Linked DNA regions of Macaca mulatta. The protein of the gene in region 2 interacts with the protein of the main gene of each other region in a pairwise test. Links are inferred from orthologs where the notes say so. Each region holds a gene or a part of one and is shown on either strand. Other genes may lie near its edges.

Evidence for each region.
Region 1: the proteins of LZTS2 (region 2) and TTC23 interact in binary tests that used the Homo sapiens proteins (3 or more experiments, as listed by UniProt). The two-hybrid records come from large-scale screens. The link is inferred for Macaca mulatta from reciprocal best matches to the Homo sapiens genes LZTS2 and TTC23.

Annotation. Positions count from the first base shown.
Region 1 is NC_133412.1:89,484,873-89,492,719, forward strand, and holds part of TTC23 (tetratricopeptide repeat protein 23), read right to left. Parts: intron 5,748-7,847; 5' UTR 5,728-5,747; coding exon 5,548-5,727; intron 1-5,547. UniProt on the Homo sapiens protein: Participates positively in the ciliary Hedgehog (Hh) signaling.
Region 2 is NC_133414.1:113,060,624-113,068,470, forward strand, and holds part of LZTS2 (leucine zipper putative tumor suppressor 2), read left to right. Parts: 5' UTR 1-197; intron 198-593; exon of another isoform or gene 594-860; intron 861-1,508; exon of another isoform or gene 1,509-1,938; intron 1,939-2,794; exon of another isoform or gene 2,795-2,900; intron 2,901-4,881; exon of another isoform or gene 4,882-5,011; intron 5,012-5,413; 5' UTR 5,414-5,455; coding exon 5,456-5,863; intron 5,864-6,427; coding exon 6,428-7,087; intron 7,088-7,847. UniProt on the Homo sapiens protein: Negative regulator of katanin-mediated microtubule severing and release from the centrosome. Required for central spindle formation and the completion of cytokinesis.

The DNA of each region.
Region 1 (7,847 bases), on a different chromosome or scaffold from region 2:
TTTGGAGATGAGGTCTTTAAAGAGGTGATTTAAGTTCAAACAAGGTGTTAGGGCGGACCCTAGTCCAATACAGCTGGTATCCTTATATATGAAGAGGAAAAGACACCAGGGATGGGCATGCACATGGAGAAATGACCATGTGAGAATACAACAAGAGGGCAGTCATCTACAAACTAAGGAGAGAGGCTTTAGAATGAAATCAAGCCCTGCTCACACCTTGATCTTGGACTTCCAGCCTCCAGAACTGTGAGGAAATAAACTCTGTTCTTTAAGCCACAGCATGTGTGGAATTTTATTATGTCAGCACCACAAACTAATACAGAACCCAACCACAGTGCTGTGAGGAAGCCAACATGGCCCCGTGGAGAGAAGACCCACATAGAAAGACCCACATAGAAAGTGAACCATTTTGGCACCAGATTCTCCAGACCTTTCAAGACCAGCTGATGCTGTGTGGAACAAAGCTGAGCAAACCCCACTGAGCTCTGCAAAAACTGCAAGCTCATGAGAAAATGAATCGCTCTTTTTGTTTTAAGACACTAAGTTGTTGGGGTGTTATGCAGCAGCAGATAGTCAGAACAGCAAGAGAGATGGCTGAAGAAAGAAAGCTGAAGGGGTCAAAGCAGAGGAAGAAAGGTAAGAACAACGATGGAGTTGTGGAGAAGACCCAGGATGCCCCTAGGATGCACCCCCATCAATGTCAAAGCTCAAAGGACTTGCATTTCCACACAATTCCTCCATGCATTGGAAATACCTTCACCCTAAAACAACATTTTTCTAGACAAAAATACACAGCCAGACAGTTGGCCAAAGAAGAGTCACTTTTGTGACCTAGCAGGAGGAAGCTAAGGAATACATGCTCACCATAAAGTGCTGAAAGAAGGTGGACTGTGGCATTTTTTTTCTATAGTAACATGTTTCTTACTGCAAAAATAATGTATGCTCATTGTCAAAATACGGACGAGCAAAAAGATAAAAACTAAAAATCACCTGTAAGTTTACCCCCTAGAGATATCTAGGCAGCTAAATATCCCTTTATTCTTTATTTTTATGAATCTATATATTTTTTCTTTTTCTTTTTTCTTTGTTTTTTTTTTGAGACGGAGTCTCGTTCTGTCACCCAGGCTGGAGTGCAGTGGTACAATCTCCGCTCACTACAAGCTCCACCTCCCGGGTTCATGCCATTCTCCTGCCTCAGCCTCCCGAGTAGCTAGGACTATAGGCGCCCCCCACCATGCCCGGCTAATTTTTGTATTTTTAGTAGAGACAGGGTTTCACCTTGTTAGCCAGGATGGTCTTGATCTCCTGACCTCACGATCCGCCCGCCTCAGCCTCCCGAAGTGCTGGGATTACAGGTGTGAGCCACTGCGCCTGGCTATTTTTTCTTTTTCAAAAATAGGTTCATAAGCTACTTGCAGGTTTACAGTCTGCTGTTTTAACAATATATGAATAACTTCTCATGTCATCTTCTATGATATAAGTTTGAATGGCTCTACAGTATTTTATTATATGATTATATCATAACCGTATTACTCAATCCACTCTTTATTGGGCATTTAGGTGTCTGCAAATTTTTTACTCACTGAATATCCCGTATGGATACCTTTGCACACACCCATAAACATTCCCACAAAATAAATTCCTCCAAATGGGATCGTTGTGTAAAGGATATGCAAAATTCTGAGGCTGTGAGTAGCTATTGGTGAAGTACCTCTCCAAGAGGTTGCACCAGTTCATACTTTCAACACATCATATGTGAGCAGAAATGCCCCTTATGTTGAACCGAGTACAAATTGTGGAATTTTTGTTTTGGTTTTAGTTTGTCAATTTGTCAGTTGGCCCATTTCTTCTGGATTTGGTCCACATTTTTCCCCCAAATTGATGAGGCTGAACGTCTTCATGTGTTAGCTGGCTGTTTGTACTTCTTTTGGGAATCACCTTTTTATTGCCTCTAGACACAGGAAGTTTATGGAATGACTTCTTTGGAGAGAGAGAAAGAGAACAACAACTACAGTGTATGAAAGAGAAGGAAATGACGACAACATCACGGAATCCAGACAGAAAAAAGAGGGAGATCTGTTTTGATAGTGAATCTGTCCCAAATACAGATTTCCAGCAAAGAGGACTGTGCAGGCTGAGTTGGGCTTCCCTGATAATAACCTTGGTTCTCAGGACCTGAGCGGGGTTAGAGGTATACAAGAAACAGCTTGCCCTCCCTTCACTTCCTTATGTTATAAGGCATGGTCCAAATATCCCTATTGGTTTTCCAACCTTTATTCTACCAGTCCCAGTGGCTTTAGCAATAGGCATTGGTAAGGGGCAGACAGAAGACAAGTATGAAGTAGCAAGGCAATTTCAAAACTGGGAGGAGCCTTGGAAATAATCTAATCTGGTCCCCTCAATTTAAAGATGAAGGAATATAAGGCTGGAAAGTTGAGATGATTTACCAGCAAGTGGTAGCATCAGGAAGTGGTTAAACAATGAGGGGATGGATTGAGGACTCAGGAGTCAGCTTGAAGGGTCTCCCATTGGCAGATATGGAATAATCTGAGCTTCCAAGAAAACAATAGGTTGTAGTGTATTTGAAAAATACAATTTCCTGAACCCATACTGATAGGAATAAATGAATGATAAATAAGCTGTGAAGAAAGAAAAGCTCTTCCTTATAATAGAATGCCAACAAACAAATGTTGAAAGCATGTGGAAGTCAGCGACTGGCTCTGTGACAAACATCATAGTAATAACTGATTCAGGTGAAAATCATCAGTGAACACTAAAACTGACGGAGTGAAGTTTTAAATATATACATAGTCTCAGTGAATCTCCCCACAAAATACTTATTAATTACAAAGGGAAAAATAGCAATTCTGCAGTAAAGAAACCTGCCACACAGCACCTTAACCAAATGTTCAAGGTTGGCATCACTGTCACGAGACAAATAGACATTCTGCACCTCCTGACAGGACGCACTAAGGAGCGCCCCATGTCACACCTGTGGTATTCCTGCTCCAAATGTACAATCTGAATAGAATCATGAGGAAGCATAAGACAAACTCAAAAGGAAAGATATTCTACAAAACAATTAGAGTACATATTTCCAAGATATCAAGATCATGAAAAACAAAGTAGGTTAAGCAACTGTTTCAGATTAAAGGAGACTAAAGAGACATAACAACTCTATTTAGCATGAATTCACAGACTGAACCATGGGTCTGATTATTTTCTGTAAAGGACATTATTAAGAAGAAATATAAACAAGGTTTACAGATTAGATAATAGTATTATACTGACATTAATTTCCTAATTACGATCACTGTACCGTGGCTATGTAAGGGAATAGCTTTATTCTTAGGGAATAAACACTGAAGAATTTGGGGGTAAAGGGCCATAATATCTATAACTTACTCTCAGTTCAGAAAAACAATGAGAGTCAGAGAACAAAGCAACACAGCAAATGTTAACAATGAGTGAATCTTGTGCCTTTTCTGTAAGTCAGAAATTACTTTAAAATACAAAATTACCAAAAACCTGATATTTTAAAAAGTAAATTACATCATGTTAATACCTTGCTGAAAATATTTTTAAGGCCTTCCAGGGCACTTAGCTGGAAACCTGCAAGGCCGTAAGTGAACTGACAGCCTCTCTCACTATGTTTAATGTCAGCTTGCAGCTTCTTCTCCTTGCTTCAAATATGTCCTGCTTGTGCCTACCTTGTAGCTTTATGTGTGCTATTTCCTCTCCCTAGAACTCTTTTCCCTCAGCTCCTCCACACTGGCTCCTTCTCTTCCTCAGGTCTCACCTTATCTTCCTGGAGGCCCTCCCTGATCACGCTACCCAAGACAGAGCCACTCTATGTCCTCCTTAGCACTTATCACAGTCTATAAGAATCTGGTCCATTTACAACGTCGATCGCCTCTCAGGTCCATCAGGGTATGTACCTTGTCTGTCCTATTCACCATTGTATCCTGGATTCTTCACCAGAACCACAGAACAACGACATGTTTAATACCATTCTAGATACACAGAAAATAAGTTAATTCTTTACATTTGTTAAATGCCTTTGGGCATGAGGGCTTAATTCTTTTGCAGAAGTCTGGTTGAGAAAGGCTGCCAGCCTAGAGCCTACAAATAGTAGGTACCGAGTATCTGTTGCATAATGAACAAGTACAACCTCAAAACCAAATTTGTGCTCTTTCTCTATAATCCTGGTCTTTCTCCTGTATTCACTATACTGATGAAGGTCATGGGCAAGTCTCCAATCATCCAAGCAGACTCAGACCTTGGGTGGTAGGAATTCTACACACCCCATCTTTCTCACTCTCACATCCCCATTCCCTATGTCCCCTCAGTCATCCAGTCCTGTCCCACTGACTTCATTTCTAAATTCCTTTCAAAAGAGCTCAGCATTTCTATTGCCTCTGCCACGTGTTGTTCAGGTCCTCATTATTGGAGGATTATTGCAAATATCCTCCTAACTGATGCTCCTCTTCCAGTTTTACTCTTTTTTTGTCCATACCTTTCATAGCTATGGGAGTGATTGTTCTTAAAATCAAACCTGCTCATGGCATGCTTCTACTTATAACCTCATGGTAATCCTCCATCATCTTCAGGGGAAAATCAAAACTCTTTCACTAGGCCTTGAGTGCCCTCTGGGCCTCAGTTCCTGCCCATAATCCAGCTTCATATCTTGCCCTGTGTCACTAACACATTAGTCCCAGACAGCTCCTTATAGTTCTCCAAACAGACTGCACTCCCTCAGACCTTTGGCTCTTGTCTATCTGCTACCTCTGTCCAGAACATTTTGGTCCTCTTCATCACCTGTCCAACTCCTAAGCACTGTTTACTAATGCAGTCTACGTAACTCCCATCCCAAGAAAGTGTGCTTTACCTGCTGTCCCTCTACCACCTCCAGGCTCACTGCCCACCCCTTTCTGTTTTGTATCTATGTCACTCGAGCTCTCACAGAACTTACCAAACTGACTACCATTATCTGTCCCCCATCTATCTTCCCAACCAAATCCTGAGTCCCTCCAAGACAAAGACTGTGGCTTTTCTTTCTGTGCCCCTGGTACCTACATGGCACCTGGCACATATTAGGCATACAATAGGTATTTATGATGAATGGATGAACAGGACCCAACACATAAGAGGTGACAGAGAAATGCCTACTGAATGAGTTAGTGAGTGAGTAAAACTTTCAAGGAAAGAATGGGAAAGAAGCATGCAGAGAACAAGATCTGAGATTATAAGGAATTATAAGCTCTATGAGAGCAGAAGCTTCATCTGCTTTGTTTGTGTTGTATCCCAGTGCCCAGACTTGGCACACAGTGGGACCTCAATAAATATTTGTTGTTGGCTGTGCCAGCCGCTGTGCTTGGAGCCTAGAGATACTACATTCATTCATGTTATAACAAAGGCACTGTCTTACACACTCTCTTGTACCAAACTGCTGAGATTAGAAATGTAATCCAAAACATTCTACTTCTCTTGATTATACCTTATAGCTCAAATCCCAGAGTAGAAATACAGAAACAAAAGTCTCCTTACTTCGTGACTGTTGGAATAAGACTTTGCTTTCTCTTCACAGAGGTGGAGTTTCTCTCGAGGAGGCTGGAATAGTGCTGTCTGAGGCAGCTTGTTTTGGAACTTCTTACTATTAGTGATGCTAACAGCAGCAACAACTTCATCTAGGTGGTTGGATATGTGGGTTTCCTGTGATTCTTGCATAGTTTTACATTCATTGTCTTCTAATTTTAAAATAAAAAACAAAGATGTTAAATGATAATTTACATAGTTATTTTTAGAAATATACATTTCAACACTATACCATAATTTCTTTGAAATTAGTAGTATTATATCCCAAGATTATGGTGGCTACTACTGACCTGCTGATTTCTACTTTCAACTAAATTAAACCTTCTTTATGTATATGGACACACATATATGTACACATACATATACACACATACATACACATGTATATATAAACACACACACACATAAATGTATATGTGTGTATTATACACATACATATGTACGTATATAAAGTCCAGTAGAAATTAGCTTAGCACATACATATGTATTTATATGTACATATATATATAAAGTCCAGTAGAAATTAGCTTAGCCCAAACAGTTCTCAATGACCCCAGATTAAATCAGCTGAAGCCCAACTGACCCTGAGGTAGAAAACAAATAACTGTTGTTACAACTTTTACTTCTGGCCAAGATGAAGTAATAGTAACTACATTTACCCTCTGGCCTGAAATAACCCAAAACAAACAAATAAACAGCCCACAGAACAAAGGATAAAACAATGGTTTCAAGAAACAAGACAAGCAATGAGAGAGCAATTCCTGAGAGATGGAAAAAATAAATCACCCCAGTTTATTGCTTTGAGAGAGTTTCCAGGAAACAGCACAGGGAGAGGGCACCCAGAAGTTACCCCAGTGGACTACCTGAGTTGAGGAAGTAGAGTTGAGAATTTGGGGAGACCAAGGTGACTAGAACTGACAGAACAAATTACTGAAGAGGAGAAGGCTCCAGAGACAGAGGAACCAAGAGATTAGCAGAGGGACACCCTTAAGTCTAGGGACAGAATACTGATTAGCATGTGCGTAAGAAAATTACTTAAGTCTGGAGAAAGAATCCTTCAACGAAGTTACAGGGAACAGTGTTTTGTGCTCACATAAGGCTGGTGCCTGTTGCCAGCAATCAGACTGAAAAAATTTCTAATTCATGAGGCATTAGATAGATACTCAGAAGTCTTTTATCTCAGTAGGGCTGATAATTAGCTGTAGACTGAACACTGCTCAGATCACCACACAGATCATAAAAAGTAAGACCTAAAAGGATCAAACTGTTTCCAATTGACTTGATTGCACTAGAGGACAATACTCAAGGATATTCATAGGAATACTAAAATAATCAATACCTAACAAGGTAAAATTCACAAAGTCTAATATCCAAAGATTACCAAGCATCCAAAGAAGCAGGAAAACATGGCCCATAATGAGAATAATCAATCAATCAAAACTGACCCAGAATTGACACAGATGTTAAGTTAGCAAATAAAAACATTAAAACAGTTATAATAATTGTATTCTATCGGTTTAAAAAGTTACATAAAGACATGGAAGAAATAAAAAAGACCCAAATGGAACTTCTAGATAGAAAAATTATGTGTGAAGATGAAAATGCGTGGGATTAATGGCAGATTAGAAACTGCAGCTGAAAAGATGAATTTGTAGACATAGCAATAAAAATTATCAAAAACAAAAAAAAAATCAGTGGGCTGCAACACAACTTCAAGTTGCCTAATATATATGTCATTTCAGTCCCTAAAGGAAAGCAGATTGGAGGAGGGACAGAAAACATATTTGAAGAAATAATGGCCAATATTTTTCCAAATTTAAGAAAAAGCATAAAGCCAGAGATCCAAGAAGCTCAATGAACATGAAACACAAAAAACATGAAGAAAACTATACCAAATAAAGTCAAAACATCATAAACAAATTGCTTAAAATTATGATACAGCAAAAATCTCAAAAGTAGAGAAAAAGGACACATTACATATAAAAAATAAAGACAAAGATGATAACAGATTTCTTAGAGGAATAAAAAGCAAACAAGTATGGAAAGAAAAAAGTTGGCAACCTTAAATTCTGTACTTGTGAAAATACCTTTCAAAAACAAAATTTTAAGTAATTTATCACCAGAAGACTTGCACTACAATGTTCTCAAAGAAACAGGCGTGAGCCACGGTGCCTGGCCTGTTTTTTTTTTTTTTTTGAGACGGAGTTTTATCTTGTTGCCCAGGCTAGAGATAGAGCAACGGCTCTATCTTG
Region 2 (7,847 bases):
CAGGTCAGGCCAGGCGGGCGCCCGGAGCCGGGAGCCGGGAGCCCGGAGCCGGGAGCCGGGAGCCCGGAACCCGGAGCCCGGAGTTCGGAGCCCAGAGTTCGGAGCGGGCTAGGGAGGCGGCGTTGTCGCGGCAAGGAGGTGGGCGCGCTGGAGCAGGAGCGGGGCCAGAGCTGGAGCCGAGGCGCAGGTGGCGCTGGGTGAGTGGTGGGGCCGCGGAGGTGCAGGAACTCCTGCTTCCCGCACATCCCCGCTCCTGAACGAACTTTCCGCTTCTGGGGAAGCTAGGGGTGGAGTGAGGAGGGGGGTCCGCACTTGGTGGGTCGCCCGCGAAGAGTCCAAACAGGGAAGCGACACGAAAACGCACGCCGACGGGCCCCAAACACGCGTGCACAGACCCACGCCCGCACTTGGGACACGCGAACACACATGCAGTCGGAAAGGACGCGCCCAGTTTTCTACCCTTGCACTCCCAGGGACAGCGCCAATCAGCCCGCGCGGACCCACAGCGGGCAGGGCACTCTGCGGTCGCGCATTGGGTGCGGGAAAGGGGCAGCCCCGTGACCGCCGACGGGGGCGGGCCGGGTGGGACGCACCCAGAGGTTCCTGCTTCCTGGCCGCCCACAGGTGAAGACGAAGACGTAAACAGGCGCCGGGCACGTGACAGCTCCGCACACCAGTGGCCTGTGCCCCCAACCCCACCACGAGGCGCGTTTGCTTGGTTCCAGGCCGGACGGCGTTCCATTCTCCTCCTGGAGCCGGGATAAGCCCTCTCCCAGGAACCGGAGCACAGCGCCCCCTGGAGCCGGGGCGGAGCAGGAGGGCCGGGCTGCTGGGCAGGGCTGGGGTTAACCTGGGCTCCTGTACGTCCTTCCCCCAGCACATTCTTGGTATCTGCATCCCCGAAGGTTTCGGAGACAGGCCCTTGATGGCAGTGGACAGCTGCCCCCGCCTATTCCCGCCAGCCCAGAGAGCAGCTGCCTGAGCGCCTGCGGGTCCCCTTCCTACCCTCACCTCCACTCCTTGCCGGAGTAGGAGTCTCCTCCCCCGCAGAAAATGCATGAGTGTAAACGCCCCCTCAATACCAGAGTGGGCCTAGACCCCTAGAAAAAGGAGGACGAGCCCCTGCCCCCAGGGAATGAGGGAGTGGGCAGTAGCTCGATGCCTTCTTCCCGCCCCACCCCCTACCCCTACACACACGCTGAGCCCAGCTGCCGCCTGAGCTGGGCAGGCTGCCAGAAAGGGGAGGAGGTTCTCGGTGCCCCAGGAGGCAGGGATCAGGGCAAGGCCAGAGGAGGGGGCTCTGTTGGGGAGAGGGGCTCAGTCTGTTCTTGTGAGGCTGAGGGTCTGGGGTGAGTCTGAGGGTGGCTGGGCTGTGTTTCCCTTTCCAGGGAAAAAGAAAGAAAAACAACCCTGTCCATGGAGCTAAAAATAGAGCTGAGAGCCGGCCAGGGCTGTGGCCTGGAAGGGGGGGATGCTCCTTCCTGGGGCCCGGGCGAGCTCTGGCAGGCCTTGGCCCTGCGGGGGAGGGGGTGGTTAGGGGAGAAAGGCTGTCTTTGCCCAGGGATGCAGGCATCAGCTGACCTGACCGGGTCACCGAGACCCCTAGGGGAAAGGCTGTGCGGTAGAATATTTGCGAAGCATGGCTGTAAGAAGTTGTCTGTGTGAGTGACTGTGAATAGAGGCTGTCAATGCGTGAAAGATGGTTAGGAGACTAAGTGCATTTGAGACAGTGACTGGGTGCGAAGGACTGCGGATTGTTGTGGAAGCCTGTGCCCAACAGGCCTGTGACACCGTGTCTGTGTGTGAGTTGGACTGGAAGATTATGGAAAGAAGGAACGCGGACCCACGTGACAGCTGAGACTGCTTGTGGCTGCGTGGTGAGGCTGCATGTGGGAAAGGTCGCGTGGGTGTTAGGGAGACTGTATTGTGTGCGAGAAGGTGAGAATATTTGCGACCTTGAGAAAGTGGAATGTTGTCTGCCGTGCGGCTCCTGTAGGTTTGGGCTGTAGGCTTGGACCGGTTTGCCCCAGTGATTGTTGGGGAGCCAGGGGCCGCTTCTCTCCGAGAAATGACCTCTGTCTTAGCAAGCGGTCCCGAGGGGAGGCTGGGGAGCACGGGGCCGCGCCAGAGGCCGGCCTGGGTTCGCGGGGAAAAGGGCACCGTACCGGGGAGTGGGTCAGGGCCCGCGTGGTGGGGGGCGGCTGGGTGTGTTCTCCGAGGGGGCCGCCAGGTGGCGCCGCCTCTGCGAAGCCCAGGTTGCCGCCTCCAACCCGCCCCTGGTGAGGCAGGTGCGGACACAGCCTCGGCCTCCGACTCGCGCTAGGGCGCGGGGCCCCGGCACCGGAGAGTGGGGGACGGCCGGTCGTCGACCTCTCTCGCTTGGGACTCTGAGGCTGAGAGCGTGTCAAGGAAGCTTCGCTTGGAGAAGCGGAGGGGGAGGGGCGGCCGCCGCCGTGCCGTGGCCCTTTGTGCTGGAACAATGACCAGCTGCCGCTGGCCCCGGGGCCCCGGCTGGGGCGGAGGGTGACCACCGCCGCCGCCGCGTCGAGCCGAACCGAGCCGCCGGACACGCAGTCACAAGGCGTCGGAGGCAGGGCTCCCGACTGCCGCCGAGCAGCCCCTACGTGCGCCCCGGGCGATTCGCGTGACGCGGGTGCCTGCGCGTGTCCCTGCGCGTGTCCGCGTCCCGGGGCGGAGACGCCCCTCGGACCCTCCCCCGCGCGGCGCCGCCCACTCGCACTGGGCGGGGGCTGGCCAGGGCCGGGGGAGCCGCGGAGGCGGGGCCGGGCCGGGCGGCTCCGAGTGGCGGTACGCGGGCCGGGGCCGGAGCCGGAGCCGGGCGGCGCGCCTGTGGAGCGCTGGGGGCGGCCTAGGGCTGAGCATGGAGCAGCGCGGCGGAGGTGAGGGGGGGCCGGGTCTGGGAGGCGGCCTGGGGAGTCCCCAACTTCTGCGCGGTGGAGTCCAGCCGGGAGACAGCGTTCTCCAGACGCCCCCACTTTGTGGAAGGGGGCCTGGGTTCTGGAGGATGGATCGGGGGCTCCCGGCTTCCCGCCGCCGAATGGGAACTCGTGATCGCAGACTTGACCCCGCTTGACTGGTCCTTGGAGTTTGGGTGGCAGGGAGACTTTCCCCAACTCCAGATCCTTCGCCGGCCCTGAACCAGCTCCAGCCCTCAGCTCCCCTCAGCCCGCTAAAAGGGGGGTGCTCCTGGGCCAGAGTGATTGCTCAGGGAGTGCTGGGGAGAATGAGGGGTTCCCATCTCCCACAGCCACAAACGCATTTCTCAAAATGGAGCCTCCACTTGCCCCTCCTTCTCTCCAAGAGCGGGAGCCGGGCTGGCTGGGCCTGGCTTTCCAGACTCCTGGCTCTGGCTCCCTGGGCGTGTGGCTCTCAGGGCCCAGCTCTGTGGCACTTTGGACTTAGGGGCCCTCGGCTCCGTGGGGTTGGGGGCCCTGGCTCACTGGGTACGCCTGACTGTCTCCTTGTCGGCCTGACCCTCGGGCTTCTCCAAGTCTTTGTCTCTTTTGGGTCCCTGTCTTTCTCTGAGCCTGTCTCCTTCCTTCCGTTTTCACTTTCTCCGTGCTCGCTGAAGTGGGGAAATGCAACAGAGGTGCCAGCCCTTGGCCCCCTAAGAAGTCCTTTCCCCACTGTTCACTCCACGCCCTGGAGTGGGCCCAGAGAGGGGAGGGGAAGGGTTTTTCTATCTGCTCTGCTGGGCGCTGGGATGTGTGGGGTGGTCTGAGCCCCCACCCTGCAGAGGGGCCTGTGATCGCTCCCTGCGCCCGGCCTACCCCTCCCCCAGCTCCCCGCAGCTCCTGCCCCAGCCTGGACACCTCTTCCTGGTTCGCAGTATCTTTTGACTTGGGTGGGAAGGAAGGCGGTGGATTTAATGGAGTGCATGCGAGAAAGAAGGGGAACAGATCAGGCAAAGGAGTTAGATAATGTCCCACCTCTCCCCACATGGCAGAGAGGGAAGGAAACAGGCTCCCCCCACCAATGGGCCCTCAATCCACCCAGGCTCCCACCACTCTCATACCTGCGTGCCCACGTTCACAGGTTCCTCTGCACACCCTGGTGCACTCACCTTCCTAGTCGCACACATACATAGGAGATCACACATAAACTCATGAACTTACTGACAAAGCTGTCCAGGCACCATCTCTCCCACACACCACAAACTCACTTGTTAGATCTGCATTTATAACTTTCACAGGCTTTCTAATGACCCCTTACCCACATACTCTTGTAAGATATACACATGTGAATTCACACATGAACTCATGTATGTGAATGTACTGATACATCAAACATGTGTAGACTCACATTCACGATGCTTTCACGCACATTTTCATATACACGTGTTCATTTCCACGCTCCTGTGCATGTAGTCACACAACAAATAACTAAATGCACACATTCCTACTCCCAGTGCAATTCTCTGTCCAGTTCTTGGCCCTGCTCTGCATGATGACTTCAGCAGATGCCTAAGTCCTGGTCATCAGCGGCCTCGGGACTGGGACTAGGGAGGGGGTTCCGGGTGGAGGCTTGCAGCTGCTTCCAGGAAGGAGCAGGGCCTGGGGAGGTGGAGCCATCTTGCCTGGGTTCTGTGGAAGTGAGGTTTTGGAGCAGCCACTAGAGGTGAAGGCGGGACTTCTACCTTCCTCCCCTCGGGGTTAGTCTGGGGACCTTCTGAAGCTGTAGGGTTTCAGAGAGGTTGGCAATGGGGTAGAGCCTGTGGAGGTTCCTTTAGGCCTCACTGATTGGGTGTGCAGAGGCTAGGAGTTGTCATGGAAAATGTATGAGCCTGCATCTACCTCTGGGAGGCAGGAGACCCCAAAGGACACCTGTGGACTCCCTAAGAGTGGTGGTTTTCTTATTTAGCCGGATCCACAGAGGCAGTTTAGCTGCCTCACTGGGAGAAACTGAGGCCCAGCAGAGGGAGGCAGGGCACTGACTGACTTTGGCTCTTCGTTCCCTAATTACCATCTGAGGTGCTGATTGCACCCCTGAGGTACCTCAGCCCAAACTGCCCACCTGACTTAGAGGACCAGGGACCTGTGCTTCAAGCTGGTAGAGAAGGCCCCTCCCTCACCTGAGTCCTGGCCTCTGTGGGATGCAGGATTGGGCTTAGGCCTGGGTCTTTGCTGACAAGTGGCTCTGCAGTAATCACCCACGCCTCCCATCCCTCTCAGCATCTCTGCTGAGTGGATTCAATCCTCAGCCCTGTTCAGACCAGCATTGGACAGTGTGGTCTGGGGCCCAGGGGGAATTGAGGTTCATTCCAGCACTTGAAGGGGGAGTCTCGGTGGGGATCAAGGCTTGTTACTGATGTCAAGGAGGTGTTTGGTCAGGATCAGTGGGTCAGGAGGGGTCTCTAGGTGGAGGGACTCTGACACCACTGCCCTGCTTACAGGTCACCTGCAAGGCCGCTGGCCAGGCCTGAGCCTTTGCCACCATGGCCATTGTGCAGACTCTGCCAGTGCCACTGGAGCCTGCTCCTGAAGCTGCCACTGCCCCACAAGCTCCAGCCATGGGCAGTGTGAGCAGCCTTATCTCAGGCCGGCCCTGTCCTGGGGGTCCAGCTCCTCCCCGCCACCACGGCCCTCCTGGGCCCACCTTCTTCCGCCAGCAGGATGGCCTGCTGCGGGGTGGCTATGAGGCACAGGAGCCGCTGTGCCCAGCTGTGCCTCCTAGGAAGGCTGTCCCTGTCACCAGCTTCACCTACATCAATGAGGACTTCCGGACAGAGTCACCCCCTAGCCCAAGCAGTGATGTTGAGGATGCCCGAGAGCAGCGGGCACACAATGCCCACCTCCGCGGCCCACCACCGAAGCTCATCCCTGTCTCTGGAAAGCTGGAGAAGGTGAGGACCAGCTCTTCCTTGTGGGCCTGGGTAGAACGGGAGTCCCCCTTGGAAAACTGGAATTTAGAAGCTTATATAGAGGAAAGAGTGTGGGCTCCAGATTCACCAGACCTGGGTCCTAATCCCAGCTCTCTCTCATTCTGCATGTGTGACCTCAGGGAAGTCACTTAACTTGAGCCTCAGTTTCTAGAACTGACGTGAAGGTCAAATAATGTATAGCATAGTGCCTAGCATGTGGCATGTATACAGTTGTTAAGTGCTAGTTGCTTATGTTCTGGTTATTTCTGCACCAGTTATATGTTTGGCTTTGGTCAAGGCCTTTAACCTTGCTGAGCCTCCATTTCCTCATCTGTAATATGAGAATAGTGATCATATTTAGATAATGGGGATAAACCTTTCAGATTGCTTGACACAAAGCTGACACTGGTGGCCACCTCCACCAGTGGCCGCAATTGTTACGAATATATGGGCATTGGGGACCCCAGATGGGAGGGCAGGGAGTGTCATAAGGGTTCTGCAAGATTGGGCAGCTCATCTCCACTGTCACATGGCACCTCATTTCAGAACATGGAGAAGATCCTGATCCGCCCAACAGCCTTCAAGCCAGTGCTGCCCAAACCTCGAGGGGCTCCGTCCCTGCCTAGCTTCATGGGTCCTCGGGCCACCGGGCTGTCTGGGAGCCAGGGCAGCCTGACACAGCTGTTTGGGGGCCCTGCCTCCTCCTCCTCTTCTTCCTCCTCCTCTTCAGCTGCTGACAAACCCCTGGCATTTAGTGGCTGGGCCAGTGGCTGCCCATCAGGGACGCTATCCGACTCTGGCCGAAACTCACTGTCCAGCCTGCCCACCTACAGCACCGGAGGTGCCGAGCCAACCACCAGCTCCCCAGGCGGGCACCTGCCTTCCCATGGCTCTGGGCGAGGGGCACTGCCTGGGCCAGCCCGAGGGGTCCCTACTGGGCCCTCCCACTCAGACAGTGGCCGGTCCTCCTCCAGCAAGAGCACAGGCTCCCTGGGGGGCCGTGTGGCTGCCGGGCTTTTGGGCAGTGGTACCCGGGCCTCCCCTGACAGCAGCTCCTGTGGGGAGCGCTCACCACCACCCCCGCCTCCACCTCCTTCCGACGAGGCCCTGCTGCACTGTGTCCTGGAAGGAAAGCTCCGAGAGCGGGAGGCAGAGCTTCAGCAGCTGCGGGACAGTCTGGACGAGAATGAGGCTACCATGTGCCAGGTGTGGTCAGAGGCAATGATGGGGAAGGGGCATGGCAGGACATCCCAAGGCCTGGGGAATGAAAGGGGCATTTCCATTTTAGCAGGGAAGAGGGGTTGGGTAGTTGTAGTTGTGACCCCCCTGCCCTCCCCACCAGTTGTCTGGTTTAATTTGTGGAATAGCCAGACGTGGTGGCTCACATCTGTAATCCCAGCACTTTGGGAGGCCGAGGTGGGCGGATTGCTTGAGCTCGGGAGTTTGAGACCAGCCTGGGCAACATGGGGAAACCCCATCTCTCCTAAAAATAAATTAGCTGAGTGTGGTGGCATGTACCTGTAGTCCCAGCTATTTGGGAGGCTGAGGTAGGAGGATCACTTGAGCCCAGGAGGAGGAGGTTACAGTGAGCTGACATTTTGCCATTGCACTCTAGCCTTGGGTAACAGAGCAAGACTGTATCTCAAAACAAGAAACAAAAAACAAAACTTGTGGGGTGGAAAGGAGTCAGAGTGCATGGATTCAAACCTCCCACTGCTAAATACCAGTTTTTGGACTTGAGCAAGTTGCTTAACTTTATTCAGCCTCTATTTCTTCATCTATAACAGGGATATTTCTAGCTTCATAGGATTGTTATGAGGATTAAATAAGGCAAAAGGTGTAAAGTGCTTAGACTAATGCCTGGTATCTAGGAAATGCTATACATAAATGCTTGCTTTTTTTTTTTTTTTGAATTTTTAGTAGAGACGGGGTTCCCACCATGTTGGCCAAGCTGGTTTCGAACCCC